Mytilus edulis: one gene and its partners. The protein of the gene in region 1 purifies or fractionates together with the protein of each later gene. This does not show direct contact. Links are inferred from orthologs where the notes say so. Each region holds a gene or a part of one and is shown in the gene's direction. Other genes may lie near its edges. The genes, in order: U3 small nucleolar ribonucleoprotein protein IMP3-like, U3 small nucleolar RNA-associated protein 25 homolog and something about silencing protein 10-like.

Region 1 (11,041 bases):
ATTAGGAAATTGTGTGACATTTAGAGAATTATCTCCCTAAATTTTGTTATTTGATTACACACATTTTCTCATATTAATTTATACATGTAATTCCCAAGGTGAAAAAGACAGAGGCCCAACAAAAATAAACTACTTTTTCCTTCCTACCGGCTAAAAAAATGGGTAAATGAGTTTGTACTGAACTTATCATTTCACTCCCCCCCTAAATATGACAAAAATCATTGCCAATATTTCAATATAAAAACTTGGCTTTACACATGGGTGTAGCTGGCAAATGACTAGAGACACTGTATATTTTGTACTTACACACAGTAACTTTCTCCATTACTTGCTGTTTTACAAGTAGCTCCATTCAAACAAGGATCAGGATAGCATGAAGGAAATGCTGCAAAATAAAACATTCATAGTTCATATAAAAAAGAAGATGTGGTATGATTACCAATGTCATACAACTCTCCACAGAGACCAAATTGACACAAAAATTATCATGCATTTTCTTAATTCATGAAGGTTGCTATTCCAAATTATTGTTAATTAATAAAGTAGATTTTCTAACTTCTTTTGAACTTTGAAGATATTCTGACTATATATGAAAATAAACACCCGATTATATTTATATTTAAGTACTTCAGTACACTGAAAGTATTTAAGATGATAAACATGTGCTGTAACCTCATGGAAAGAAATTAACTTTACAAAACAAAATATTATATTTTTGTCAAGAATTTTATATTTTTGGGGGAAATTTTTCATAACTTTAAACATAAATGACATATCTGGGTTTTTAAAAATGTGTGCTGGTACATTGTATATTTTAAATTACATTGTACAAAATGTTGTGAAACAAAATTCTAACACAAGTACCAAAAAGATGTATACCAGGTACTTTTTATCTTTCAGGTGAATTTTTTAATGATGACTGTTGTTTTTTTCAAAATTCAAACCAGAAACAAGGAGATTTTTTTCATTGTATTAATTCTTCAGTGGGTATATTGTAGTACTGGTATAATCACTGCATGATATTTTTGGGAAAAACATCAAATACATGTAGTCATTAATAATATGAAGCAAAACATATTTTTTTCTTGTATTCTGCATTTAAATGCATATGTTGCTAGAATTGTACAGATTGTGTCTTCAAGATCCTGTACTTTTAATGACATTGCTGTACAAAATCTACTATGAAGTACAGCAACTGATACAATGATTGATATTGAAGTTTACCCTGGATTCATCAATTTCAAATTAGCAGTATCAGTACCACTGACTGATCTTTGATACAGTATAATTATCTGGTCTATTGTTTTTGTGTTGTTTTTTGTTTTCTATTCCACATTATTCTAGAGTTTAATGTTTTTCCTACAATGTACATGAATATTTGGTGTTATTCAGTACTACTTTTTGTTGTTCCATTGATGGAGAAAAAATGGGGATATGGGGGTTTGAGATACAATGTATATTAAAAAAACATTAACACCGTCATATATTCATGTACCTCTCACAAGTCAGGAACTCACAAGTCAGGAAATTTGTCAGTGTTTATTCTACATTATGCTTTTTGTAAATTTATATCCCAAATGTGACCCATTGGGTGTTTGGTCTTTTCCTGTTCAAATAGCTCAAACCTTTTGAAAAAAAAGAATACTGTTAACTTAATGTAATTTTAAACCTCTACTAAAACTGAAATCAAAAAATACTTTAAAGGTTTGAACTGTTTATTTTAACTATTAAATGTTTTTAATATGCTATAGTATTTTATAACCTCATCAAGAAATTGAAATCTCATTCGATAATATTTTAAACAAACAAAACTTGTTTATAATATAATCATAAGTGCATCAATACATTTGTCCTATGACATCATCTTGCATGAAAACAAAGAAGGCACGCGCAACGAAATGTGTATTGCCTATGTTTCAAAACATGATATCTTTAATTTCAACAGTTATTTTTTCTCATATATCATGTATAACAAATTAAACCATGATTAGTAGCAATTAATACAACATTTAATCTTTCAGAACTTCATGAATTCTTTAAAATATAAAAAGACAAGCATACAATTGTTTGAAGTATTCATCATCAATGTATTTCGATGCATGGGTATTTTTATCACTAGGACATTACCTTCAATGAGGATAATTTGATGTGCAATCAACACAGCCGTCAAAAACCGTGCAAAAACCAACATAACTCCAAAATCATAATAAATCCCTTATGGAATATTCACATTAAATATCCAAACATTACTCCAAATTCAAAAATAGCACTGCAAATATACTTTTCCAAACTTTTAACATGATATTTTAAACTCCATCGTCGAATACACAAAACTTTTACAACTCGTGTTGATTTACAAACAAGCACCTTGCAGATTATGTCACTACGCGTAATTATCAAGGTACGGACTTCACAAATATTTGATTATCTCATATATGTGCAATATAATTATTTATGAGAAGATATTAGTTAAATCGCTTTCTAAACTGTCTTTTTATTGTTTGTGGTTTGCATTGATAAAATACTTTAACCGTTCTTTTGACTGCCCTATTTTATTCCGCACACCGCATCACAACTTAAATCACTTTTTGTTGACTTTGAAGTGTAACGTTAGTTCGCGGGAGTCAGACGGAGACACCGCTAGTCACGCTTGGATTAGCGTATAGGTAACTGGCACACGACTCGTGTGTGCTTGACTGGTGGAATGTATGCCCGTAGGAAATAATAAATAAAGATGAAACTTTTGAAAAAGTTTCAGTGCGCTTAATATCGTTAAAATGCTACTATCAAAAATTGAATTTCACTCATGTTTGGGAAAATCAATGTACCTTTTAAAAAAAAAACGATTACTTTTAGCAGTCGTGAAAAAGCTCAATGAAAATTACATCTTATTTTGTCTCTTTAATGATGATAATTCAATAAATGGAAATAAACTAAGAACCTACAGAAAATTTAAAGTAAGGTATAAACTAGTACCTTTTATTGAATTTAGATAAAAATATTACAAAAAATTATGCTAAAATAAGAATAAGTAACAGTATGCTGGCTGTTGAACGCGGTAGATACAAAAAATGCCATAAAGAGGTGGAAGATGAATTCCATTTTATCACAACATGTTCAGAAATTAAAAAACTAGGATCAAAATGTTTAATGAAATTTCTAGTATTGTCCCCAGTTTTAATTCAATGAGTGAAGAAAACATATTTGATTTTATATTTTCCTGCGAAGAATGTGATATTTTACTTATCATTGTTAACTATATAAGTGAAATGTATAATGAGAGAAATAATCATAATGTCAATATATGAACTGTGTAATTGATGGCTCAACTTATGATGTTATATATAAGCATAATATTTGAATTGATAATTTCAAAGAGGAGGCATGATGTCAAAAATAGTATTATAATTAATATTAATAATCAATATTTTTTTTCTTTCAATGCTACATGTTTGTAGTGTTTAAGGTCTATCGTTTTGTAATTAATATGCCTGTCTGTCTGTTTGTTTGTTTTTGTTTTGTATTTTAGTAACAATCCTATTGTTTGCATTTTAGACTTATACAATTCTTATTCTTATTCTTATCAATCTTGGTGTCCGTCGTCGCCCGTTATAACTTAGGGACGACATCAAAAGTTAAATGTAGGACGAGAAACTCAATTCACATAAATAGCTACGTTTTTTTTCACTGAACATCCATGACACACTCAGACATGCCCATATGTCGATATTGTCGATACAATATCGAATCGATATCGATTTTGTGTTTTTATAAAGAATGATGACTCAATGATATGTCGGATGTTACAATGGGTCGTGATAAAGTTTATAGAAAACTTAAGGATCTAATAACAAATATTATCACGTGTACATATAATTTGTATTAGTTGAAATTGACACTTGTTTGAAATTTGTACAAAGTTGTGAATTGAAACAACACATAACAAGGGAAAATTTAAATGTCGATATCGACGATATCGGCTGTAGTTTAAGATGAAAATAACATAAAATCGATATCGTAGATATGGACGACATAGCCAACATAATCAAAGGAATAAATGGACACTTGTTTGAAATGTATTTAAAGCTAGTTCAGAATTAATGCTTCACATTACGAGGGGAAATTCAAATACCGATATCTATTCTTTATCGTCGATATCGTCGTTTTCGACACTATTTTAAGAAGCATACAATGTACACGATTCAGAGCAACAAATGCAGATTGAAATTGGAATGTCGATATCGAGTCTATATCGTCGATATCGTTGATATCGACACCTAAAGATGAACCAGAACAACTTTTACATGTTATGCATGTAGATTAATAGTGGTAACCTGAACATCGATATCGTTACGATATCGTCGATGTTCACACATACAGATGAACCAGGGAGCCTGACGAAGTAGATGATATAGGTAAATACACGATGTATATTTAGCGTTCCGATTATACACCGTGAAATAGTGATTGAGTTGATATCGATATCGTAACTACATCGTGTCTCGGACATACCTTGTACGTAACATTGCTGCAAACAACAACGTTATCATCTAGACAAGAAACTAGAATAATAATATAAATACAATTTGCACAGGCACTTGTCTCAGAATAAATCCTATACCTTAATGTATGTAACATATAAGGTACATGCCGTTTTACTCGTTTTCTACTGATATTCACAATTTTATCAGATAGAAAGAAAATGACCCCATCTACATATTTGTAGAGAGAAATGAAAACAGACAAAATATTTTCAGTAAAACAAAATCAACAGATAAGACATCTTAGTCCTGAATCATAGTCTAGTCTTTAATGTTGGAGAGAGGCCCTTGTTTATAAGGCACAACGATCAAGATGAGCGACACAGTCTCCTTAGAGCCTTTGGGTTTTTACTTGATGCTAGTAGTTCTCTCGTCCGCAATCATATCACACCTTCTCATTTTTATCATAAGGACACTATACCACGCCTTTCAGTGACAGGACAAATGGATGGGGTGATTTTTTTTATGCATTAGAAAAAACTCAAACTTGAAAGCAAAAGGAGAAAAGGTTGCAATGTTCCAACTGAACGATTTTTAATCACTCAGACATAATTATGCTGGTAAAAAGGGGGGGGGGGGTATAGATACAAAACTTGAACGATGTTTTTTTTCTACGCCAAAAGTTTGTATATTTTGTAATATATTCAAAATTATAATTATAAAAAAGTAACATTGCAGTTTCTATATTACATCTATTTCCAACGAATTGTGGATGTCCTTTTGAAATATTCCGCTTCTTTTCACTTTGGTAGAAACGCAGTATATCAACACCAATTAAGAAAAAAAAATTATATCTATAGGAAAGGAAAAACGACCCGCTTCTCATGAAATAATAACCATAAGAAATATCAGTTTGATTCTAGATGACTCATTTCAAGCTTTGGGCCCTTTATAACTTGCTGTACGGTGTGAGCCGAGGCTCTGTGTTGAAGATCGTACTTTGACTTATAATGGTTTACTTTTACAAATTGTGACTTGGATGGAGATCCCGAGTTGTCTCATTGGCCACTCCTATCTTCTTATATCTATTGTCATATTATTTTTAATTCATAACAGTAATGTTATGATAAATCAGCAATAAAATGGACACAGTTAGTTCCTGTTGAAATAACACTTGTTTGGTATCTCCAAAAGGCGAGCAAAGGTCATCAAACAATTCTAAAACTAAAATTTCAATATCTATACAGCCGATTCCATTGGGTGTGTAGGCAAAGGTAATATCTTTTGTTAGCTTGCTTTCTAGTTGAACCGAATGGTCGTCCCCTTACCTCCCCAACAGATGCCAATTTAAATAACATTAGAAATTAAGCAAAAATAATAAACACTTGTAAAATTATTGATATTTATAAGTTATAATCTTATAAATTTGTTCTTTTAAATGCAAATTCACATTTGTTACTGCATGATTCCTGCATCAAATTTTGATAATTTGATTGAAAATCTGGACCTTAGATTCTCTGTTTTTCACAATCCAAGATGGCGAAAGAAATCCATAACACCTTAAAACACTGTATCGGTACAGATTTAATGGGAGCATTTGCCTACCAAGCCAGTTTCCCAGCCTGGCAGTCACGGGCCTTACTGCACCAGATCGATGCGCATTTCGACGATACTGAAATGTCCCTTCAGTGATACTCGAGGCTAAAATATTTGAAAATCAAAAACTTATTAAAACGACGAAGAGCTTTAATCCAAAAAGGTACAAAAAGTATAGCAAAAGCCGGAAAAGGAATCAGAGCTTTACACGAGGTAGAAACATTCCTTAATTTAAAATAATTTTTAACATTTTGTAACAGCAAAATTTTTAATAACAAACAAATCTGTATTTTCATGTCTGGCTACTGGGCTGGTGGTACCCCAGGGACTAGTCTAATAGTTCACCAGCAAATGCATGTACCCTTTGGTATATTTGCGGAAATATAACATATCTGTTCCGAGTCAGAAATATCTTAAACTGTACTTGCTAACTTCCGGTTTACATTTTGCATGCTCTCAAATCTTAGAAACAGTAAATATGGTCAGAAAACTAAAATACCATGAGAAGAAGCTTCTTAAGAAAGTCGATTTCATTTCCTGGGAAGTCGACAATAATTTACACGAGGTTAAAGTGATGAGAAAGTACCACATTCAAAAACGTGAAGATTACACAAAGTGAGTTAAAAATTTCCTACACTGGCACTGGTTACAACTTACAGTCTGACCACAGAGAAGTCCAAATAATTATGACGTCTTGAAAGGCTATTATAATTTTTCTTTGACGGCTTACTTCGACATTGAAGTAAAGCATCAAAGAAAAAAATTATAATAGCCTTTCAAGACGTCATGACGTCGAAGTAAGGCGTCAAAGAAAAAAATTATAATAGCCTTTCAAGACGTCATAATTATTTGGACTAACTACAGGGTGCGTATCATAGATGTTGTAGGTCAGAAAATGTGCCAGTCGACTGGTATGCATTATACATTGTGTTAATAGCATAACGCATGTCATAGTAGACATAGATTTTTTGATTTCATCTAATGATAGGTGCTCCTGTGGTCTGACTACTGTACAAAATAGGTGCAATTCAACTATATGCCTATAGACAACTCAATTCTCTACGAAAAGAAGATAAGGACCCTCTACAATAACAACTCAGACTACTTATAAAATCAGAGTTTTGAAGAAATATATGATTTAATGAAAAAGATTGTGTCTGCCAGATGAAAGTCTCTAATAAAGTTTTAACTCTGATTTTGAGTATATAAATAACAAAAAAGGCAGCTCAGACCTTCTAAGAAGATTTTTCTATATAGACAATTTGCCGTTTCAGAATCTAATGCATTCTGGGTCATATTTTCAAAAGCGTTAACCAAAACATTGTAATTGGTCAAAAACGTTCTAAACAATGGAAATTCAACCAATGACGTAATGTTATTTCATTTTGGTGTACGAACAATGATATAAACCATTGTCCTTAAGATTCTGAAATTGCGAATTGAAAGATGCTCCCTTGATTTCTATTTTTCTGATGTTTGAACATAAAATGATTGTGCAAGTGGGACATCCATGTACAGTACTATGGACACATTCTTGTTTATCATGTTGGAAAATTAAGCAACATGCATATGATATTGATATGTAAAATATAACAATTGATTATTTATAATCATTTATATAGCTCAAATCCTCTTATAAAACTCTGTCTTAGTTGTCATTGACTCATTAAAGATTGTCCAAGCTGATTTATTGACTGGCCAAGTCGTCTTCATAGACAGTCCATGTTGTCTTATCAGTTAGTCAGGTTTGACTCCGTCAGATGACGGATTTTTCTTCAGGCTGAATTGTGTCACATTTGGAAAAATAGAATTTGCACTGTAACATCAGAACAAATTTGAAAGTCATGAAAGTAGTCTATATTTTGTACTGAAATGATGCATGATCATTGCCACATGCATTTGATTTTCTCATTGTTTCTTGTAAAAGAAAAGGAAGAATATACACATTTATTGGGAACAAGACTTAGAATGATTGCTGGTGAAGAATATACACATTTATTGGGAACAAGGCTTAGAATGATTGGTGGTGAAGAATATACACATTTATTGGGAACAAGGCTTAGAATGTTTGCTGGTGAAGAAGTAAATGAATCAACAAAACTTATCTGATGATTGTCCTTGTTATGAATTTATATATATGACATGATTTTTGATGTAAATAAAGAAAAACTCCAGTTAGCAGTTATATTTTGTTTGTTTGAAAGTATACTTTAATTCAATAAAAAACATAATAGTTAATACCTATAACAACAAATATACAAAGTCAGCTTATTACTGATCTTTGTTCAGATAAATATATATGACTAAATTATCCAAGGTGAGCATCCCCAGAAAACTCATTTTGTTAGCTCACCTGGCCCGAAGGGCCAAGTGAGCTTTTCTCATCACTTGGCGTCCGGCGTCCGTCGTCGTCCGTCGTCGTCGTCGTCCGTCGTCGTCCTGCGTCCGGCGTTAACTTTTACAAAAATCTTCTCCTCTGAAACTACTAGGCCAAATTTAACCAAACTTGGCCACAATCATCATTGGGGTATCTAGTTTAAAAATTATGTCCGGTGACCCCGCCAACTAACCAACATGGCCGCCATGGCTATAAATAGAACATAGGGGTAAAATGCAGTTTTTGGCTTATAACTCAAAAACCAAAGCATTTAGGGCAAATCTGACATGGGGTAATATTGTTAATCAGGTTAAGATCTATCTTCCCTGAAATTTTCAGATGAATCTGACATTCCGTTGTTAGGTTGCTGCCCCTGAATTGGTAATTTTAAGGAAATTTTGTTGTTTTTGGTTATTATCTTGAATATTATTTTAGATAGAGATAAACTGTAAAAAGCAATAATGTTCAGCAAAGTAAGATCTACAAAAAAGTCAACATGACCAAAATGATCAGTTGACCACTTTAGGAGTTATTGCCCTTTATAGTCAATTTTTAACCATTTTTCGTAAATCTTAGTAATCTTTTAGAAAAATCTTCTCCCCTGAAACTGCTGGGCCAAATTATTTGAAACTTGGCCACAATCATCATTGGGGTATCTAGTTTAAAAATTGTGTCCGGTGACCTGGCCATCAAACCAAGATGGCCGCCACGGCTAAAAATAGAACATAGGGGTAAAATGCAGTTTTTGGCTTATAACTCAAAACCAAATAATTTAGAGAAAATCTGACATGAAGTAAAATTGTTAATCAGGTCAAGATCTATCTGCCCTGAAATTTTCAGATGAATTGGACAACCTGTTTTTGGGTTGCGGCCCCTGAATTGGTAATTTTAAGGAAATTTTGCTGTTTTTGGTTATTATATTGAATATTATTATAGATATAGGTAAACTGTAAACAGCAATAATGTTCAGCAAAGTAAGATCTACAAATAAGTCAACATGAACGAAATGGTCAATTGACCCCTGTAGGAGTTATTGACCTTTGTAGTCAATTTTCAATCTGCTTCCTTTGTTTAATATTCACATAGACCAAGGTGAGCGACACAGGCTCTTTAGAGCCTCTAGTTAGCTATAAAATGATATGTTTAATAAGACATACTCAAACAAAAAATAAATTCCAAATCATTTTAGTTGTAATTATTTCTTTTTTGGTAATCAGTTATATATATTGAGGGGAAATCTTTTTATTTAAAACATGACAGCATCCATCAACAGAATGGGAACAGGTAAATGTGCAAGCTCAATTGTTAGAAAAAAAGTTAACAATTTGGGACCATTTGGTAGTACATTTTTTTTTCGTTTTATTGATATTTTCTATCAATTATTAATATCTATGGCAGTGTTGGTTAATGATGCAGGAATGCATAACCTGTGTTGTCATCCATAAATTGACATCAATTGATTTTTATTTTTAGGTACAATAAGTTGTCCAGACATATAAGAGAGCTTGCCAGAAAAATCAAAGAAGTTGACGAGAAAGATCCATTTAGAATAGAAGCCACAGCTCAACTCCTTGAAAAATTGTAAGTGTCTTCAGTGTACTGTAATCAGAAGTGGCGGATCCAGAAATTTTCATAAGTGGGGGCCCACTGACTGCCTAAGAGGGGCCCGCTTCGGTCATGCTTCATTGAATCCCTATATAATTAACCAATTTTTTCCCAGAAAAAGGGGGCCAGGCCTCCTGAAAAACCCTCTAAATCCGCCTCTGAACCACCTTCAAATTTAGGGTCTTTGTATTGGCTGATATAAATACAATGTACTTGAATTAGGCAAAAACAAAATACATTTGCTGCCATTATGAACCTAAAATGGTAAGGTTCGTCAAGTTTATTTTTATGAGATCATCAGTAGTGAAATGTAAACGCACCAATTTTCATCAATACTTTTATGTTTTTGCTAAATGTAAGTCTTAGAAGATTATGTGTTAATACATTTTTATAGAATAAGACAAATTGGATTTTTGCTCTCAACATAAAAGAATGAAATAAGTAGAAAGATACAAATGGCAAAAGAACAATATTGTAACAACATGCAAAAGCAAACATTGTTTGTCTTGAGCAATATACACTTTTCTTTTTAATCTGACTGTTTGTTCCAGTCAGTATTAATTAGAGAAGTAACTTTTCCCTATCATTCTGCCATTGTGTGCACCTTGCATTTACAGTCAGAGTTTGTATATTTTCCCCAAACTTTGCAGATATCCAGATTTGAAGTTTTAATTTTATTTCTGGTGACCAGCTTTTGTCAGATATGTAAATCATGCTCTAAAATTGAAAAAAATACATTATTTAGGTTGCTACTGTTATATATATTATAATTATAAATATTTGTAAAATTGACTTCCTATTCAACAAATACAAAATGAGTTTCATAATTCAGTGATATTACCCACATCAAAATTCAAAGAACACAGCTTTACCAGTGAATGCCCCTAAAATACTACACCTTCATAAGAAATACCAGGAATGTAAAATTAACAATAGGATGTCCATTGGATTTAAGTATTCATAAATTACATTAATTTTGTCC
Region 2 (11,824 bases), on another chromosome or scaffold:
TTGATAAAACGGTAGATATACATGTATATAAAAGGGAAGAGTCTGACAACGAACTTACCACAAATCCATAGTTTTTCAATACATCACATTCAGTAGGGATGAGTCCGACAACAAACTTACCACAAATCCATAGTTTTTCAATACATCACATTCAGTAACTTTTCCATACTTTTCAAACATCATCTGTATATCTTCCCTCGCCGTAGACTGGCTCAGGTTTCCCACAAATATCTTCACCATTTTCCAGCTAAAAAAATAGAATTGGACCATGAGTATTTGGCATGTTTAAGTATTTGAAACCATTGTCCACCGTTGTGAACATTTACCAAAATATTTTAGAACTGCAATTTTTAAATAACTGCTTTGTTATTACATGTATTAGTATATATACTTCTTGATTTTACTTACATGTGATCTGACTAATTCATGTATATACAATGTAGTAGCTAATTGAAAGAACTTTTGTTTTGAATTTTCACTTTTATCAAAAGCTCTCAAATATTACAATTTTGTGTATTTAATCAGGGTTGGATTTACAAAAATTAATACACACTTTTTAATTTTGAATTTAAGACCAGAAGTAAACCTTTTTTCATGTGCAAGATTTGTAAAATTTTGTCAGAACAGGATACATTGCATTTTTCTTTAAATCCTGAAACAAGGTCTTCATATTACAAGTTCTACCCGTAAGAATGTAAATCATTAAAAACAATTTACACATATATCAATATGTGTCTGTCACAACACTCATCATTATACATTTACTTACTCTTACAGATGTGTTCCTGTGAATAAAATGAAGGAATTAAGGATAATGACACAAACTTTATTGTTAAATGGACTGCATCTAGAACTTCAAATTCTAAATTAAAGTTTCTAAAGTTCTTAGGATTCATTTTGTCCATCAAAACTGTCAAGTCTTAAAAATTAAAAATTGCTGCATTTGAAATGTTTTTTTCGTTGTTGTTAAAATGATTAATAACTGTAAAACAAATTTAGCCTTGTGCATGATGTGCAATCAAGAATTTGTAAATCTTAACAATCTTCGAACAATTTCGGAAAAGCAATTTTTATTCTAAATCCAATAAATTGCATTAAAATAGAATTTTCAGTAAAATCTAAAAATGTTAATAAATCCCAAGTCATTTATATCTCTGCCAAATGTTTTGCAGTACTCTGATTATTAAAAATTAGTTATTGAAAACAAAAATTTGAAGTTCTATCTAGACAGTTTTACAAATTAAACAAGCCTTTTGCATTTTCCAGGAAATATAAGCTAATATAATGAAGCTGATTAGCCTACAGGATCAAGTATATAATTCATCTGTCAAAAAAGTCTTTTGTAATTGTTTAGAATGATGAAATTTTAAAGACAATTGTGACTTGTTATACATTTTTATTATTTCTTGGTATAGCTAAAACTGGTACACAGTTAAAGCTTCCAATAATATATCATAAATCAGAATGACAGCATGCATAACATGACATACATTCAATGTTTAGCACAAGTCTGACATAAAAGTGTTCAAAAGTTCAAATTTTTGAAGATTTCTTGACAGATAGAAATACAAATGTAGCATCATTCATCCAGATGGTTTGTAGGACCTAAAATAGACCAAAATCAAAAGAAATGAATTACCATTGCATCTGTACTATGTTGGTGCAGCAAATTCATCATCTAATTAAATTTAAATAACTGTTGGCACTCATAATGGTGTAACACTGGGCTACATCATGCTCAGAAGATATAAAACGCATAAATGGTGGTCCCATATGACAGCCAGTCACCAAATGAAAACTTTCGACAAATCAAGAAACGAATTTATGGGCAAAACTGCTGGAAAAATTTTCATTATCGCTTCGCACATGTGCTGGACGACAGGAAGAGCCAGGAAATCATTAAATCGGTTTTTATTCATAACAAATGTGATACCACTGAAGGTGTGATCGAAAACGGGAGATTTAGGCAAAATAATATCGGATCGTGTTTCTTTGTCTGAACAGGTCCCAGTGTTGCCCAAAGCATTTAGAACAAAGCGATAACTGCTTCTGCAATTTGTCGAATATTTCTTTATTACAACAGTGAAACATATTTCGTGCAATCATAACGAGATAAATAAACTGTCCAATAGTGTAAAACAAAAATAATGAAAGTTCATGTATGACTCATTGGCCGAGACGAATAAAAATGGACGCCGGGCATAAATGAGAGAGGCGGCAAGGCTACTACAACTGATATCGACACAATACAATATACATTACGGTAATATCGAAAGCTTAACGATGCTTCTTGCTTCGGTAACTTCGGACGGTCCTCCTGTTTATCAAAGGCGTTCGTTTTCGGCTTGATCTCGTCGCATGTGTTTTTTGCAGTAATGGCGGCGGCAGGAATAGCTTGGTATTGGATAAAGGACAGATTTTGTTTAATTAATTGTATGTTAATTAGCTAGATCAATGTATTAAAGTATTTTAAAAGGTCTTATCAAAATACATAGAATTTTTTGATGACTTGTCAAAATGAAGTTTTTATCATGCTTTTTTCAAAAATATATTAAAAACTATGGGTCACCGGACTTTTTTTCACGCTACAGTTGTGCAAAATTGGCAAAATTGACAGATTTTGCATGGAAATCAAAGTTTGTGTGATAAAAAGAAAACGTTCTTTTAGAACTTAAAGATAAAATTTGAGAAGATTGCTCTTATAACATGCTTTCAGAAAAGAAAAAGAAAAAATGGGGGTCATCGAACTTGTTTTTTTGCTACATATAAAAATAGGTAAATTCATAACACTTTTTTATTTTCGCCGTTTCAGAATCTAATGTATCCTGGGTAATATTTTCAAAAGCGTACACCAAAGCGTTTTGATTGGTTTAAAACGTTATAAACAATGGAAATTTAACCAATGACGTGACGTTATTTTTACTTTGGGGTACGAACAATGAAATTACCCATGATGCTTTAGATTCTGAAACGGCCAATTACTTTATCTGAGTTATCTCCCCTTATTTGGCAAAAATGAAAAAATCTAATCAAACACTAACAAGGTGTTTTGGGGAAATTACAGCTGTAGTTATGATAAAATTTATGCGGCATACATTGTTGTTACCAATTACACAATTTTCTATATTGATTTCAAAAGTCGTTTACATTTTAAAAAAAAATACATACAACGCTCAATATTTGCACATTTCATCGAATATCTAGACCAAATTTATCTGCTTCTTCAAAATCCAAGATGTAGGAAGAATCATGAAAAAGAATTGTGATGGAGATGTAATATGAGTTTATTTAACAGAGGCGGATTTAGGGGGGGGGGGACATTTGGTTGCTAGCCTTATATAGGGAATCATTGATGCGTGACAGGAACGGGCCCCCTCTTAGGTCAGTCAGTGGGCCCCCACTTATATAAATTTCTGGATCCGCCACTGTTTAATACACTCCACGTTTAAATAACTGATTTTAAATGGCTAGTACGAGGGAGATAATTTGAAATAGATACTAATATACTAATGATGATATTTACATGCGACATACATTGTTGTTACCAATTACCAAAGTAGGGTACACACAAATTATTTGGATACAGTAAAGTATTTTGTGTAAAATTCATTAAAAACGAACGAACGAACGATAAATAAACGCATCTAAATAAATCTAACATATTTTAGAAAGTTACTTTAAATTGATGACCTTTTCAAACAGTGTTCATTATGTTTATTCTGCTGAATTTTCTTTAATCGTCCATATAAGAATAGATCATACTGTTGTTTTTATGCCCCACCTACGATAGTAGAGGGGCATTATGTTTTCTGGTCTGTGGCTCCGTTCGTCCATTTGTGCGTCCGTTCGTCCGTCTGTGCGTCCGTTCAGGTTAAAGTTTTTGGTCAAGGTAGTTTTTGATGAAGCTGAAGTCCAATCAACTTGAAACTTAGTAGACTTGTTGCTCATGATATAATCTTTTTAATTTTGAAGCCAAATTAGACTTTTGACCCCAATTTCACGGTCCACTAAACATAGAAAATGATAGTGGGATTTTTAGGTTAAAGTTTTTGGTCAAGGTAGTTTTTGATAAAATTGAAGTCCAATCAACTTGAAACTTAGTACATATGTTCCCTATAGTATAATCTTTCTAATTTTAATACCAAATTAGATTATTACCCAATTTTTACGGTCCATGGAACATGGAAAAGGATAGTGCGAGTGGGGCATCCGTGTACTTTGGACACATTCTTGTTTTCCTTTCTGTTGAAGCATTTGATTGAAGGATTTCATTTTGGGTTAATGCCTTCCTATCTACAAGATCTCAGTGCGTGGTAGTGAATGGGATAAGGTCCAAAACATCGACAGTCCTATCAGGGGTACCACAAGTTCAAAGGACAGTTCTTGGTCCAATCCTATTTCTAGTACAGATCAATGATCGACATAGCAGAAGATGTAACATCAGAAATAAGACTGTTCACAGATGACTGTGTATGCTATAAAGAAATAACAAATGACTGTAGTAAAGAACTTCAGAAAAATATAAATACCCTTGGTGACTGCATGGGCGACACATTGGGGTATAAGATTCCAACTAGTTAAATTCAACAAGATGACATTAAGTCGAAAGATGAAAATAACACCATTTAAATACACGTTATAATATAAAAGATACGGTACTCGAAGTTTTAACAGCTTTTAAATATCAAGGAGTTAACATCACAAATAACCTACATTTGGGAAAGCACAGAGATGAGATATGCAACAAATCTTATAGGACATTAGGTTTATTAAAAAGAAACTTATCAGCATGCCCACTGGAAGTTAAACTCCAGGCATATAAAGGACTGATACGACTTGTCCTAGAATATGCAAGCACTGCCAGGGACCCACATCAAATACATCTTCAAGACCAACTGGAAAATGTACATGCAGAAAAGAGCGACTAAGTTCATTACATCTAACTACAACTACGAACCAGGAAGTATGACTTCAATTTTAGACCAACTACAATTACCACCATTAAAATACCGCAGAAGACAAAACAGACTAATTCTGTTCTGTAAAAGTATACATGCGCAAGCAAACTTACCATCTGACCAACTGAGAAAAAAAATCAAGTATAAAAAAGAAGATGTGGTATGATTGCAAATGAGACAATTGTCCACAAGAGACCAAAATGACACAGACATTAACAACTATAGGTTACCGTACTGACTTCAACAGAGCCCATACCACATAGTCAGCTATAAAAGGCCCCGAAATGACATAAAACAAATGTAAAACAATTCAAGATAGAAAAATAACGGCCTCATTTAAATAAAAAAATGAACGAAAAACAAATATGTAACACATAAACAAACGACAACCACTGAATTGCAGGCTACAGACTTGGGGCAGGCACATACCTAAATTATGTGGCGGGTTTAACAAGGACAACAAAGAACATGCATAGTTTCATACCAAATACGACTAAAGACTGTCCAGAACCTACTACCACCGGATATTTTCACAAAAATTCAAACAGTACAAGAACCTTAAGTAAATTGAGACCCCCATTATAAACAGTTCTTGAACCGCCACTGATACATAGCTGTGAGGAATAGAGATCAATAAAGCGGCAACAAAAAAATAGACTGATAAACGATCTTTATAAAAGGGCCGTTTCCGCCATTTATTTCATTGGGACTGTCAACGTTCATTTGTTCCACCTAACAGAAGTTCCAATTGAAACTTTGTTTTAAACATTGTCATAATATCTAATCCTGTTGGAATAACTATTATATACCATTTATTCCATTTGGAACAATTACTTTAATATTTATTCCTATTTAAAGCAGCTTTTTGAGCTTATCTTATATTATGAAGGAACTTCTATTCCGTAACAGACTAAGCGTGCGGTGACCTTTCATTTTTATTATATTTTAAAACATATATCGATATAAACTACGTTTTGGCGAAGAATGAACAATTTCTATTATTTTAAAATTATACCACTTATACATGATATACCAGTAGAGAGTATACCACCTTAATTAATGTTGGGGGATTATAATGTTTAAATACATGTAACTTATATAATTAAGGAGGGAAATAACATACAAACCATTTTTATAGTATAAATAAGATAAAAGATGTTCTGCCAAAATTTAAATGTTTCTTTTCTTAACTAGTAAAAAATATGTCTAATTTATTTAATTACACATTAAGATTTGAAATGAACCAGAAAATAAAGCTTTGTGAATTAATTATATTTCAAAATAAAATCTGTGCTTTATTCATATGTTTTCTTTAACAAGATATATTTGTTTACATCCAACCAATCATGAGCCGTCTATCATAACCAGTTCGGGTCAAAGTACAAGATGGCTCCAAAAAAGCATGGTTTCGGAAAAAGAAAACGAAAATCAAAACAGAGTGGCTCAAATGGCGTTAAAAAGGGCAAATTCGCCAATAACACTAACCAGCTCCCAACAGGAAAACCTGAACAGTATGGAATTATTTGTTAGAATTGGGAAGAATAAATGAATGAATAAATAAATATAAAATTTAATTAATTTTTATCCCCCCCCCCCCTTTTTTACGATAGTACAGGGGCATAATGTTCTTCTTCTTTAGTTACAGAAAACCATCAACATACTGATGTTTACTTTCCGGCGCTTGCCTGGTAAAATTTTTCAAATTTATGTATTTATAAAATAGTTTAACATAGATGTATTCCATATTTTTGTATATATTTCATTATTATTACTGCCTTCTCCTCATTCCGGTGTATCCCTGATTCCGGTGTAATGTTAAATTGCGGGTTTTTGTTGAACTAAAAGCGCGTGCAAGGGTCAGGGGTTACAGGTTACAGACAACTGGTGCATCGCTGTCATCAAGAAATGTAAATACGTCAAACAGTCTTCATTACAGGTAAATATATATATATTAGCGCATGATAGTATGATTTCCATAATTCCCAAATTCATGCATATGCCATAAAATTTCAAGCCATCTAAAAATATTGAATAATCATCCCAAATCGATTTATTGTTATTGATTTCTCGTCTGCCATTTGCAAGGCGTCCCAAACAACAGTCACGTGATGATACAGCCTCGATATGACTCTGAAAAATCTATGGAAAGCCTGATTAACAAAAATGAACACTTTTACAGTTTATTTTAGAAAAAAGTTATTAATCTCGTTTTTATGTTTATGAAACTATTTATGTTGATTGAATTTAATAAAAATTAATAAATATGAATATGAAGAACATATTACTGTGATTAAAGGACAAAATGCTTGCACAATAATTATTAAAAGAAATGTGCTTTATAATTAATTGAAGGTATAAATAAGGGGGGGATGAAAATATTTTTTTCAAACTGAATTTAAGATTTTACTGATCTTTTGTAAATGTTTATGACTATTCATTTTTATTACAGATATTTTTACAATGAAGAAAAAGCAGTATGATCCAAATGCTTTGAAATTTGCCTATGATGCTGTACAAAATGGAATGTCTGTTTACAAAGCTGCAAAAAACTATGGTATTCCAGAAAGCACGCTTAGAGATAGGACACTTGGTTTGGTTTCTGTGGATGGGAGATGCTCCAATTACCTTTTTGATGAGTCTACAGAGAAAAAAATGGTGGACCACATTGCACATATGGCCAGCATTGGTTATGGTTATTCAAGAATAGATGTCATTTATCTAGCAACTGATTTAGCTGTGTTTATGGGCAAGAGAAAACCTCAAGAGGATATATTGAGCAACAAATGGTATTACTCTTTTATGAAAAGATGGCCAAATCTAACTATTAGTAAACCACAGAAATTATCCATGCAGAGAGCTAGATGTGCATCAAAGGAGACACTATCTAACTATTACAAAGAGTTGGGCACTATTATGACCAAAAACAATCTGCATGAACAGCCACACAAAATATTTAATATGGATGAGAGTGCTCTACAAACTGAACATAGCCCAGGTAAAATTGTTCATGACATTGTTGTTAAGCCCCAGTCTGTCACATCGCCAAGATCTGCAAATGTCACTATAATTAGTGCTGGCAATGCAATTGGAAATGCTGTTCCACCTTATTATGTATTTCCGGGTGTTAAATTTGACAGGGCTCTACTTCTTGATGGGACTCCACCTGGTTCTGATGGCCAATGCAGTAAATCTGGATGGTCTAACAGTGAAATATTCAAAATGTACCTGGAAAAGCATTTTCTCAAGTATGTATCACATGATGTCTCTGGCACTCCTCTTCTTATATTGTTTGATGGCCACCGCTCACATGTGAGCTTAACTTTGCAAGATTGGGCTGAATCAAAGAACATCATTCTTTTCATACTTCCACCACACTGTAGCCACATTTTACAGCCATTAGATATAGGGTGTTTTGGACCATTAAAGGCTTGTGACAACCGGGAGGCACAGTTGTTTATGAGAAAAAATCCAGGATGTAAAATTACAAGGTATAACATAGGACAAATGTCTTGTTCTCCCTACCAGAAAGGTCTATCTGCACAGAACTTGATATCATCTTTTAGGAAAAGTGGGATATATCCTTTTAACCCAAAAGCTGTTGACACCAGCGAACTTGCTCCAGCTACAATTTACCCCACAGCTACATCAGATGAAGCAAGTACAATGAATAATACACAAATTTCACAAGAAGATGACAACACTTCCTCTCAGCAATTTAACAAAGCTGCCACTCTGACGATACAACAATTCGAAGCTTCATCATCAGCCCAAAAGGAACAAGATATCTCATCAGATCAAGATGAATCAAATAGTCAACCTTTGCTTACTCTAGTTCCTCCTGAAAGCAGGTACTCTGATGACATTCAAATATATACCGCAGAACCAATAATTGAATTGAACACATTAAACATCTCTTCGAATATAACCACATGTACAGTAAACAGTTCTCCATCCGGATTCCTGCTAAAAAGAAATGTTGTTTCAGTTGAAAAGACAGAAAAGAAAAGGAAACACTTCACAATCACAGGAAATTTAGGAAAAAAGAAAAACATGGATCATCTGAATCAGTCAAAAAAGAAAGGAACTTTTAAACCACCCTATAAAAAAGCAGAGCCTAAGACAGTTGAAAAGGAAACTAGAAATCAAAACAAAGCAGGAAAAGATACCAAAAAGAGGGCACCTGTAAAAAGAAAAAGTTCAACTGTGATGGAAAAAATTGAAAAAAAAATTAAATTATCAGAGGATGATGTTAATGCAGGTCTTGGTACATCTGGTTTAAACAAGGATAAAGGAGGACCAATATGTCTTGAGAATTCATTTAGTGACAGTGATGAAACCGATGATGACGACGGTGAAACTTGCTGTGTTTGTAATAAGAAATCTCCCTCAGAGATCAGACAACTAGCAGGAATTGTGTTTGTCAAATGGGCACAATGTGACAATGATAACTGCCGTCACTGGACACATCTCCAATTCTGTAGTGATGTTAGAGTCTTGCGGAGAGGGGATACTTTCTTTTGTCCACACTGTAAAGAACAGTAAACTGTCCAATATACAGAACACTATTCCAAAAACTGTTATTCTGATTAAAAAAAAAACAACAAACAATAGATTTAGAACTGTTTAATATTAATGTAATTTTTCTATTTATTCAGTTAAAGTAGATTTTCAAAAAGTGAAACTTTGTGAAATATTTTTTTCCCACTATTGACATCAAAATAGAATTATTAAAATAATTTCCACAAAAGAGTGAAAGTAAAACAAAAATTTGAATGAGAAATTTTTTTTTTTTTTTTAAATTTAGAAAAAAAATCTTGCATATATTGGACTTTTCAACATTTTTCATCTTGTCAAAAATAATTTGTGTATTTGTCCTAAATAAAATCGTGTTTTGCTGATCTGTACTTCTTTACTAGAATATTAGCGTTATTTGATGCACAAAATAAGGTGCATTAGTGTTCCAAGTTGTCCTCCATACTATATTTTACCTTTGCACCGGAAAGAGGTTAATAGCAAAAACAATGATGGGTGGTGATCACCGATTTTCAATCATTTATTAAACTGATAAAACTTGACAAATGGGTAACATATTATGCATCATCGAAGAGCTAAATAACTGAATTTTATTTATTTCAATCATATTTGTTCCGTTTAGTTCGAAAAATGCGTTTGGAATAATGATTAACATTTTGACCACCGGAATGGGGTTAACCCAGTATATATTATTAATTTTTACATTTTTTTTTTTGTCTTTAGATATTTTCGTTTTTATTTATTTTTTTTGTCGTTTTTTCTCTCTGGTCTATGCGTATGTTCGTTCGTCCGTGCGTCATTCCACAGGAGTTTGAAATCTTATCAATAAGGGGGTAAAAATATACCAAAGTTGACTATCACAGTAGAGCTTCTCTCGAAGAGAGAAGTTTTTGATCAAGGTAGTTTTCAATGAAGTTGAAGTCTATCAACTTGAAATTTAGTACGCTATGGGTACAAGTTAAATCGGCACCTAGGCTAAAGAAAAAGTCAAATCGACACTTATTCAAAGTGAAATCGGCATCTGATAATAATTAATGTAATATTAATAATTATAATATAAACATTTATTTATATGTATAAACTTAATTTCCAATTATGTTTAACAAAATTTATGTGGGATTTATTTTATCGGTATCCGGTCGTTCCGGCCCCAAACCGATCCGGCCCAAAGTCGATCCGGCCCAAGTCGATCCGGCCCACGTCGATCCGTCCCCAAGTCGATCCGGCCCCATAATAAAATATGAATAAACTATATTCACTATATGGAGGAATTTGTGACAAATTTGAACAGTATAAACGGAATTTGCAAAAAGTGTCAATGATGGATGACAACAAAATTATGTCATCATTATGGTATTAAGAGTATGAATTAAACCACCTGAATTGATAACATAACTAATTTGATAAATTGAATAAACATATGCATACATTGATGGGAATAGTTCCTGTGGTATATTAAATAACAAACAGTTTAATTCATTTAAAACAAAAGTTTCATTATTGATTTCTATTCTAATGAAGTCATTTGTATATTTTCGGAATAGTCTTAATTTTTTACAATGTAGCAGTAAATGATTTAGGGTTTCATTTTCCGAGTTACAGAAAAAGCATATCGGAAAAACATTACTATGATTTCGTCTTTTTTTATTATCTTTAGTAAGAAGAGCATTATGCATATGCACAACTCTGTAAATAAAATCTTGCTGGTAATTGTTTAACCAAATCATTAGTCTAGAATTGGTTTGTTTATTCAACAATTGTCTGATGATTGTGAACTAAGGTAATGCCACTCGTAATCACTTAATTCAATCAAATCCTGATTAATTAAAGTTACGTAATCAACAAGTTCTTTGTAGTTTGGTCTTTTCGTTTGGTGTATATAATAATAATTAATTGTATTTTTCAGGTAACACCAGAGGCTTCTATATCACTTGTTTTTTTCTTTATAATATCGAATACAGTCAATATATTTTTCTTAACGTTGACAATATTTTAAAAAGTTGTGTGTAGATTAAAAAAAAAAAACAACAACAAGTTATATGAGTATCCAATATTCTGTATCTGTAGATATAATTCATTTTATTATGTTTCCAAACTTCAGTAATCAATAATTTATTTTGAAAGTGAAAGTAACATTTACTAAACGCATTCTGTCTTCTCTTTTATAGAAAGGATTCGGCATATAGATCTAATATATATCTTTATTTTTATTCCTTATAAATATAATTTTTATTGGGGCCTGATCGACCTTACATATGGGCCGGATTGACGTGGGGCCGGATCGACGTGGGACGGATCGACGTGGGGCCGGATCGACCCGAAAGCATTTTATC
Region 3 (10,718 bases), on another chromosome or scaffold:
GCCATTAACATCATCATTATCATTATCATGATCATCATCTTAGGTTTGAAAAATTGAACTTTTATCATTTTTATTTCTTATTTTTTAACTAAATATTTTGTCATGTTTCCAACACAGAAACTGAATGTTTTGTTGCAATAAAGAAGACAGAAATGAAATTTTTATTTTATATGACTGGAATCTGTAGATGGTTTCATTCATGATCCTGGATTATAGGTAATCATGCCTTGATACTTTTAATAACCTTGCTGTCTGATGTGAATATGGGTGTTATGGTGAATTATCAAACAAGGGAAGTCCGTATTTGTTTTGCTTTCAAATAGTTGGAGTGATTTTACTTAAGCAATCTGTTTCCATCAGTTTTGTCGGTGTGTCAATTTAAGTGAAACCACCAATGAACAGTCTATTATTTGAACTTGGAATTATTTTTAACTATGGAATTTGCTTGATTTCTTGTTATTGAAATTTTTAATAAATTCCAGGGCCGTAGGAAGGTTTTGTCAAGAGGGGGTGCGAAGGGGGTGGGTGTGGGAGGGGCACTCCCCTCCTACAGCTTAGATTTTTTTTGAAAATAGGTAAGCCAATTTCAGGGTTTAATGTGTTCTCAGAACGTTAAATACATGAATATCCATACTCTTTTAATAAGCTTTTAAACGGTTAATAGGGAGATATTTAATTGAAGAAAGCGTATAAATCATTGATCGAACTAGTACTGAAGGTACTTTTTATTTCAACATATTAAATCAATATAACAGTGGTACCTTTCAAAGTTAACATTACAATTTCATATATATGATAAAAACAATGGATTGCACACATCACTTTTGTTCCGTAATTATTTCGGATAAAATAAATCATTCTTATATAAACATAAACCTACTGGCATTTTATCATGATCTATTTAGAGATTTTAAACGGCGTTTTGCATTTGCGCCGATCTGCATTTCATTTGCGCCGATTTTTTCTTTCATTTGCGCCGATTTTTTTTTCATTTGCGCCGATTTTTTTTACAGGTAAATTACAGGTGAATAGATATTAGAAGAAGTTGTATGAGTGCCAATGAATGAACTCTCAATCCAAGTCATGTTCTTATTCATTTATCATTATAGACCTCCTCAGTTATCCACTTGTACAAATTTAATGAATTATCAATCATAACTTATATATAACTGTTGTTCCCTGCTCACCACGGGTACTGAGTGGAAGAAGTCCTTCAAGATACATCTCCAGAATTTACATTGACTGTACCCGCTGTCTTTCGGACATCTACCACATGGTTATGCTCGTTCTGTGTTTTGACAATAGAATCCGTGGTGACTCTGGCTGTACACGATTTTATGGTACATTAGTAAAATGTGTTTCAGGACACTTATCTTCCGATATGTATGGCCCTCGATGATTAAAGAATTGACTCCTCGACCCGTTTCAGTGTGCAATATGTCTATCATGTTACTATGAAGTTTCAGAACAATATGAATCAAAATTAACATAAATGAACAGCATTTATAACCAGACTTTACCAATAGTATAGTACAGTATATAGTACATGTACAAGTATTATCTTACCTGTAAATCTAATTAGGAGCAAATATAAAATCGGCGCAAATGAAAAAATGAAATCAGCGCAAATGAAAGAATGAATATTTTCAAAATCGGCGCAAATGTCATACGCCCATTTTAAAGACAACATGGCTTCATGTCTTTCAAGTTTACTTTTATTATGAACACATAATGTGTTCATAATAAAAGTAAACGTAATAAGACGAATTCCATGAATGACGTACGTGTGTCTTATTACAATATGATGGATTATAAAAAAAAAACAAGGAGCTTAATAAGCATCTATTAAAATCCTTAGAAAAAACATAGTTGATTCTCTCTGAAAATTTCTCAATTTAAGATTTTATCCTTTGACGGATACATGATAAGCTTGGCTAGGGGCGATTCTAATCCTACAAATCTCATTTAAACACCATCATCGGTTGCATTTACATGCGCCTGTCCCATGCCAAGTCAGGAGTATTTTGGTCATTGGCGAAGCATTTAATTTTTATAAGCTTTGGAAGAGGAATACCAACGATACAAGAAGCGTTTTTAATAAGAATTTAGGAAATTATGCTGTGCTTTAAGGTTAAGGATTACCCTTTTGGGTTTTACAGTTATTGTTTTATTTGACATACAGAGCTGTAAGTAATAGTTCCTGCTCTTTTGAGAAGTAGTTTTTTGTGTTATATTTAGTAGGTAGGGGATTGTGACTGTCTTCGTGTCATATTGGGTCTTTTTTCATAAAACCAACACGTGCTATGTGATAGAAAAAAGATTAAACTATTAAATTGTATGCCAATGTCACATCTATTATATATTTAACCCTTACCAGAATACGGCGTGTTGGTGTATTTATTGACGCATTACTTAAAATTTCCAACATATGTTTTAACATGTTCCAACATGTTGAATGAAAAAAAATATCATTTACATTGTACCAATAACATTTAGCAATCGTAATTTAGACCAAACTGTAGGAAAATATTCCTTCTTTAAAATAATATATCATTTTCTCGCTTTGTTCTTTCTGCTTTCCAATATATATACAAAATAAATCGTTTTACACTCCCAAATTGAAAGACATGTTTTGACGGAATGTTGAAATTAAAAACTGAAATTTCGAAAAATCGTAGAAAATTCAGAAATGTTACCAGAAACTAGAAAAAAAGTGCTTAATGCTAGTATAAGGTTTCAGCTTCATAATGATATCAACTATTTTGGTTTGAACTTCGTATTTTTAAGAAAAAAAATCATAATACTGTATTTTTTGTTTTGCAATCCGGATGGAACTCAATCAAGGTTCAAGACCGAGGTCTATACTGATAAGAATTTGCATGATGAATATTACAAACATATGTTCTATGAGGCATTAAAATGATTCCTAAGTCCTTGCCGTTTCACGGAATAGTCGTTTATTCTTGATTTTGGGCTTCTCTCTCCTTTATATCTTCTCAAGCAAGATGACCCCGTGAATTTAAAAGATCGATCTATATGACAGGAAATGGACCTCCGTCATGATTCTTTATATAACGAGTCAGACATGGATTATAGCTCTACGGGTGCTCTGTGAATATCCCGATTGATCTCGAGCCGCCTTTCCATTCCTTTTTAATATACAATTCCTTGACCCCAATAAACAATTTTGAGATTAGGAGAATCTTTACTACAAGACTACCATACGTACTTCTTTTCATAGATTGCAAATATGAGTTGGTAGATCTAATGTAATTTGCCAATTTTATAGATAATGAAATTGAGAATGGATATGGGGAATGTGTCAAAGAAACAACAACCCGACCATAGAACAGAGTTCAACAGACTACAGTAGAAGGCCAACCATAGGTCTTCAATACAGCGAGAAATTCCCGCAACCGGAAGCGTCCTTCAGCTGGTCCCTAAACAAATCACGAAATATATATGCTAGTCAGTCAGTAATAATGAACGTCATACTAATGATGATCTCTCAAACTGTATCAGATGTGTCCTATTTTGTCACAGAAAAACCACGGTAACCCGTCAGCGTGGAGAACAAATGCTCATCCGTGCCTGAAAATTCTTCTAATATTTTTTTATTTTTTTTTTTTTTGAAAGAGGGGGTGCGACCGCACCCGACGCACCTCCCCTTCCGACGGCCTTGAATTCCATGATTATTCTGTACTGAAATGTTCTGTGCTGCGCACAACACTTTCTATTACAAAGAAAATAGTATATTTTCAATAGAATGTGCTGTGCCGCGCACAACACTATCTAACCAAAATACATTGTATGGAAAGTGTTATTAACCACTCAAAAGATCATAATACAAAATAAACATGGAATTTATAAAAAAAATTAAACACAAGAAATTATGCGAATTCCATAATTAAAAATAATTCCAAGTTTAAATAATAGCCTGTTCAATGGTAAATCAATGATATTTGGTATGCTGTTTTAGAAGTATTGGCATATCTCATTTCCACAGAAATCGGTTGGCTATGCACTTTCAGTAATGATTTATTGAAGTCAGATGTTTTGCATAGCTTACATGTAAAATTATTGCAATTTTAACTTCCAAACATTTCCATTATACAATTTATACATTATACGCAGTGAAGTTTCAGATTTTTGCTTCAGTGCTGATATTTCTGGGTTTAATTACACAAAAATCTTACTTGAATGAACTAGTATAACGAAATAAAAAAAAAAGCATCAAGAATTATATCTACTTGTGTTTCAGTAATTTATATGATTCTACATATGTATTATATAATTGACAGCTATTCTAATTGGGAGAGTAAATAAGTTTTTCACCATCATCGAACTTTTTTTAAAGGATTCCTATTTGGACATGTAATGTATTAAAGATATACTTGTACCTGTTTGATGACCCTGTGCAATGAGTTGGGGGGACATATAAATTCCGAGAATCTAACCTTCTACACACCTGCTCTTGTAAGCAATCTCACTTGAACAGTTCTTGCCACATTTGTAAGAAACTTTTATCACTTACTGGATTTGATTGATAAGCCTGATACTATGTTCTGAAATATACAGTAAATTCGGACATTATTGCATTCATTCATAATTGACCATAATTGCAATTAATCAAGAATGGACAAAAAGGCGAGTTAAATTATTGCGAATTTGAAGGTCTATGTTTCAATTATCAGAATGTGACTGTTTACTTTTGCAATACTCACTAGTCCCATTATTCACAATATTAGAAACCTCACGATAATTTCTGAGTTTTCAGTAACTTGGAACAGTGTAGTTTGCTTGTGTGGGATATAACTATCTTTATGTCCTTCTCTTTATATCATATGGATTTATATATATATGTAAATATTTATCTATTATATTTCATTGTCACTGTTCAGAAGATGAAACCAAAAAATCCAGATGTGAATCCTACATATATTACACAACATTGGAACAAGAACCAACAAAAAAGTTCAAAACTATGCATCATAATTATTTTTTTAGATAAAAATAAAAGCATTCCAAATGCAGTACTCACAATGTTAATCATTTAAAAATACTCTTTACATATAATTATAAAGGGTGAGTCAGTTTGGCTGGTAATTGAGGAATTAATTAATTTAATTCAGGAATATGTGGTATGAGTGCCAATGAGACAACTCTAGATCTCCATCCAAGTCACAATATATAAAAGTAAACCATTATAAGTCAAGGTGTTCTTCTTTAATTTCTTTATATTATATAAAATATTAATTCATTAATATCAGAAAATTTCAGAACATGCATAAGTGCATAGCAATCTTTATTGATTTGTAGAAGAATTACATTTTTTAGTCCTATTTTAATTTTAACATGCACGCCAAAACTGTCGGGACATATGATATTATGGTATACAAATGTTTAGCATCCGTCCAGGCCAAAATTAAAAATATGTTTGTTTCCCTTCCCCCCACACGGGTCAAAAAATTATTTTCCACAGAAAAATCAAAATTATTCTTTCCTGAAAATAATTTGTTTCCATTTTTGGAAAGTGCTTGAAAGCAGAAGGATTGATAATCTAAATAAATACACCTAAATTGAGCACAAACAACTGATAAGTGACCTGGACTGGACAAGTCAAACCATTCATGTGACCATGCTATGACAATCACATCCAGTTAAAAAAAAAAAAAAAAAAAAAAAAAACTGCCTTCCTGGTCTGTTTACAAAGGGTAGACCCTGGGGAGGGGAAACAGACATTCTTTTAAATGTGGCCCCATCTGTCTGTCTGGTGTCCACATGTTGCACCATAACTTGAAAACGACTTATTAAAATTTCATGAAATTTAGCATAGTTGTTTCTGGTGATGGTCAAACAATCTGTATGCATTTTGGTGGAAAAAAAGATTAAATCCTTTTGAGTTACGGGACTTTGTAATATAAATGCCAATCTGCATAGTAAACAAAAATATTTGTAATAAATATAATTGTCAAATGTATACCTATGGTTTATATACACTTTGGTAATAAAGATATATAACTGGTACCTAACATCTTCCTGATGAAGTTAAGTTTTCTTTTGAAATTATCAGCAGTCTGTTCAGGTAAACATCATATTAATCAATAATTAGTCAATCTGAAATATCTCTGAATAGGATATGCTATTGGTTAGGAATTATTCTAAAATGAGACTATCACACAAAATCAGGGGCAATCACTCTGTATTACATTTTATATGAATAAAAAAGTACTGAGTTCACGTATTGCTTTTTTTTTTTTTTTTAAGAAACCAACTTTGTCTTCAATTAATTTACGATTTTTAGATTCTTTTGATTCTTTTTAACCCTTTTCACATTATTATTTACATAGCTAAGCCTTCAAGGAACATTTCTTAATGAAATTTCACTTTTACACTGTTATTCGGTACTCTTTAGAACAGAGATTTAAAGGGTACCAACCGGAAGTATTTACGAAAGAAAACAAAACCACGTGTGCTCGTGAATAGAAAACATTGAAAATGCCAAAAAAGTGAGAACGATTATTTTCTTATTAATTTCTCCTCTGTTTTACAAGAGAAAGTGTGTGAGTCTTTGAACCACTGCATGTCAGTTAAACATACAACGCCGTTTTACAGCTCATCTTAAGTTCCATGTGGCACTCAGAAAAAGTGCCAACACCCCTTTCTGGTTCTTTTTTTATTTCAGAGTCTCGGAGATAGATTACTTGAAGGAAATTCAAAATTTCATTATTTAGTTAACTCAGCTTCCACATACACATTTTTTTTTATGAACTGCATATTTTTCTTCAAGTTCAACCCAGTTCAAAATAGCATGAATGAATGTTCCAGTGTCTGATACCTTTGGCTTTGTCTACTGGTCATACATGTAGCATAAGCCATATCATAGGCTCCCACAGACCCCTCATCTTGGAGTGCCATAATCAGATATTCCTGTCAGGTAATCTAAATGTATATTATACCACAGTTGCTTGAAATTTACTGATATACATATGATTTTTTTTTTAAATAAAAATTTACTATTATATAATTATTATATAAATAACAGTAATTTTTTTCATTTTTTTTCTCATATATATATATCACTAAAATTCAAGCGACTGTGATTATACTTTATAATGGTAGGCAGGCATAATTTACCTGTTGGAGATGAAGTCCACATATTTTAACTTTAAAATCTGTTAAAAAATAAACTGAAACACTGTTAGATTTCTGATTTTGGCCCTGTTGTTAGGGATTTTAGAAGCGATGTCATTCATTTCATTTCATTTAATTAATGACATCATTTTCAATGTAAACAAAGAAATGTCATCACGGTTAACGTTTTTTCGTATTAAAGAATATTTAAAAATGAAATTATTATTGTACTCCTTCGTATATTTTACTAGACTGATATTTTTCTCAAAGTTTCATGACAAACCAGACTGGAAGAAAAAAAGATTTCTGCCCAAATGTGGGAAAATAGAAAAGTCTGAAAATAAAAAGTTAACGATTTTGAGTTCATCAGTACATTTTGTAGATTGATTTTTCTTCTGTAATTGGGGAGAAGTCCCTATATTTAATATTGATAATAACATAATATATTAATAAATCAATTGAGAACAAACTTGTAAATTTATATGGGTTCCAGTTCGCAGTTTGCCAGATTTTTTAGGGACTACTAGACCATTAGGCTAGTCACCATTTTATTGCTACTAGACCATACAGTTTTCTCTAGACTGGAAATTTTCAAGAGAAATAAACTGTGTATAAATAGGATTAAAGGTTCATCAAAAGGAGTTGAAAACTATATCCATGGTTTTGTAGGATTGTATATTGCTTACTATGAAATTATGTTGAAGGAACACTTTTTCACAGTTAATTAAACCAAAAGTTCCAAATGGTGAAGTTGAAATCATCCCTTCGTAAATTTTACGGACGCCATCACGAATTGGTTGACCATTATGGAATAACCGTTTCACAAATGATATCGGATATGTTCCTTACGTCGTAACTACAATCCCCTTCCCTTTCATGAATGTGACCTACCGAATTAGACTATTTACCGGATTTGTTATCACATAAGCAACACGACGGGTGCCGCATGTGGAGCAGGATCTGCTTACCCTTCTGGAGCACCTGAGATCACCCCTAGTTTTTTGGTGGGGTTCGTGTTGTTTATTCTTTAGTTTTCTATGTTGTGTCGTGTGTGCTGTTGTTTGTTTGTCTTTTTCATTTTTAGCCATGGCGTTGTCAGTTTGTTTAAGATGTATGAGTTTGACTGTCCCTTTGGTATCTTTCGTCCCTCTTTTGTCACCGTACATAATGTTATCCGACATGAATTGTCGTCTGGACAATATCTACCGTTGAAATTGTGTCCATAGAGAAGAAAAGGTGTTTTCAAACTCAAAGAAAAAACAATATTTCACATGATATAAACATGTGTTTACTCTCATTACTTCCAAAATATATAAATATACATGTAGGTTCATTTCTTCAGAGATATGTATGTGATTTCTCTATCCTAATTGAAGTTTGGATGGAAATAAGCATGTTTTTTTGTCTCTATTTAAATTTGGCTTGTAAACAATTGTGAACTGGAGTATTGAATTCATACAAAATTTGCTCATCACCAAGTGCAATTAAACAGAAAAATATACAATAAAAACAATACTCTCACTACTGTTATTATTTTATCAATAGTTGTGATGTACAATTTCAATTTATTTTTTATACAACCGCAAAATTTGAAAAAAATTTCGTCGTATATTGCTATCACGTTGGCGTCGTCGTCGTCCGAATACTTTTAGTTTTCGCACTCTAACTTTAGTAAAAGTGAATGGAAATCTATGAAATTTTAACACAAGGTTTATGACCACAAAAGGAAGGTTGGTATTGATTTTGGGTGTTTTGGTCCCAACATTTTAGGAATTAGGGGCCAAAAAGGGCCCAAATAAGCATTTTCTTGGTTTTCGCACTATAACTTTAGTTTAAGTTAATAGAAATCTATGAAATTTTGACACAATGTTAATGACTACAAAAGGAAGGTTGGTATTGATTTTGGGAGTTTAGGTCCCAACAGTTTAGGAATTAGGGGCCAAAAAGGGACCCAAATAAGCATTTTTCTTGGTTTTCGCACCATAACGTTAGTATAAGTAAATAGAAATCTATGAAATTTAAACACAAGGTTTATGACCATAAAAGGAAGGTTGGTATTGATTTTGGGAGTTTTGGTCCCAACAGAATAAGGGGCCCAAAGGGTCCAAAATTAAACTTTGTTTGATTTCATCCAAATTGAATAATTGGGGTTCTTTGATATGCCGAATCTAACTGTCATGACTGTGTATATGTAGATTCTTAACTTTTGGTCCCGTTTTCAAATTGGTCTACATTAAGGTCCAAAGGGTCCAAAATTAAACTTAGTTTGATTTTGACAAAAAATGAATCAGTTAGGTTCTTTGATATGCTGAATCTAAAAATGTACTTAGATTCTTGATTATTGGCCCAGTTTTCAAGTTGGTCCAAATCGGGGTCCAAAATTAAACTTTGTTTGATTTCATCAAAAATTGAATAAATGGGGTTCTTTGATATACCAAATCTAACTGTGTATGTAGATTCTTCATTTTTGGTCCTGTTTTCAAATTGGTCTACACTAAAGTCCAAAGGGTCCAAAAACTTAGTCTGATTTTAACAAAAATTGAAATCTTGGGGTTCTTTGATATGCTGAATCCAAAAATGTACTTAGATTTTTTATTATGGGCCTAGTTTTCAAGTTGGTCCAAATCAGGATCTAAAATTATTATATTAAGTATTGTGCAATAGCAAGTCTTTTCAATTGCACAGTATTGCGCAATGGCAAGAAATATCTAATTGCACAATATTGTGAAATAGCAAATTTTTTTTTAATTAGAGTTATCTTTCTTTGTCCAGAATAGTAAGCAAGAAAATATCTAATTGCAAAATATTGTGCAATAGCAAGATTTTTTTTTAATTGGAGTTATCTTTCTTTGTCCAGAATCAACTTAAATCTTTGTTATATACAATATACAATGTATATTTACTTTTTACTACCAACAGATAAATTAGAATAATCTTTACCATTCAGTGATAACAAGCAGTTTTTTTACATCTTAATATTTTATGATGTATTTAAATGAGTAGTTATTGTTGCAAACTCCATTAGAAATTTTAATTGAGATTAGTTTTGGAATAAGGGAAAGGGGGATGTGATTAAAAAAATTGGGTTCAATTTTTCTCATTTGAAATTTCATAAATAAAAAAGAAAATTTCTTCAAACATTTTTTTGAGAGGATTAATATTCAACAGCATAGTGAATTGCTCTAAGAGAAAACAAAAATTTTAAGTTCATTAGAACACATTCATTCTGTGTCAGAAACCTATGCTGTGTCAACTATTTAATCACAATCCAAATTTAGAGCTGAATCCAGCTTGAATGTTGTGTCCATACTTGCCCCAACCGTTCAGGGTTCAACCTCTGCGGTCGTATAAAGCTACGCCCTGCGGAGCATCTGGTTAAAGTGTAGTTGGATGCTCCCCTCTTGATCAATAGTTTTTTTCTCATTGTCAGTTGAGGCCAGTGGATGTTTCTGTCAACATCTTTATAATTAAAATAATTAGAAATGCTTTGGAATTCAACACTTCATTTTTAGCTCACCTGGCCCGAAGGGCCAAGTGAGCTTTTCCCATCACTTTGCGTACGGCGTCCGGCGTCGTCTGTCGTC

The links.
Region 2: the proteins of U3 small nucleolar ribonucleoprotein protein IMP3-like (region 1) and U3 small nucleolar RNA-associated protein 25 homolog purify together in Homo sapiens (affinity purification with mass spectrometry; 3 studies listed by BioGRID and IntAct, with this or other methods). This does not show direct contact. The link is inferred for Mytilus edulis from reciprocal best matches to the Homo sapiens genes IMP3 and UTP25.
Region 3: the proteins of U3 small nucleolar ribonucleoprotein protein IMP3-like (region 1) and something about silencing protein 10-like purify together in Homo sapiens (affinity purification with mass spectrometry; 3 studies listed by BioGRID and IntAct, with this or other methods). This does not show direct contact. The link is inferred for Mytilus edulis from reciprocal best matches to the Homo sapiens genes IMP3 and UTP3.

The regions. Positions count from the first base shown.
Region 1 is NC_092345.1:65,186,179-65,197,219, forward strand, and holds the start of U3 small nucleolar ribonucleoprotein protein IMP3-like, read left to right. Parts: upstream 1-6,488; 5' UTR 6,489-6,555; coding exon 6,556-6,692; intron 6,693-9,927; coding exon 9,928-10,035; intron 10,036-11,041. Other genes in the region: neurogenic locus Notch protein-like, read right to left, coding at 307-385, 2,128-2,191. UniProt on the Homo sapiens protein: Component of the 60-80S U3 small nucleolar ribonucleoprotein (U3 snoRNP). Required for the early cleavages during pre-18S ribosomal RNA processing. Part of the small subunit (SSU) processome, first precursor of the small eukaryotic ribosomal subunit.
Region 2 is NC_092346.1:5,174,748-5,186,571, forward strand, and holds the start of U3 small nucleolar RNA-associated protein 25 homolog, read left to right. Parts: upstream 1-6,305; 5' UTR 6,306-6,344; coding exon 6,345-6,469; intron 6,470-11,824. Other genes in the region: uncharacterized protein, read right to left, coding at 121-247, 1,640-1,647. UniProt on the Homo sapiens protein: Component of the ribosomal small subunit processome for the biogenesis of ribosomes, functions in pre-ribosomal RNA (pre-rRNA) processing. Essential for embryonic development in part through the regulation of p53 pathway.
Region 3 is NC_092344.1:32,511,331-32,522,048, reverse strand, and holds the start of something about silencing protein 10-like, read left to right. Parts: upstream 1-6,418; 5' UTR 6,419-6,498; coding exon 6,499-6,509; exon of another isoform or gene 6,510-6,937; intron 6,938-10,718. UniProt on the Homo sapiens protein: Essential for gene silencing: has a role in the structure of silenced chromatin. Plays a role in the developing brain. Part of the small subunit (SSU) processome, first precursor of the small eukaryotic ribosomal subunit.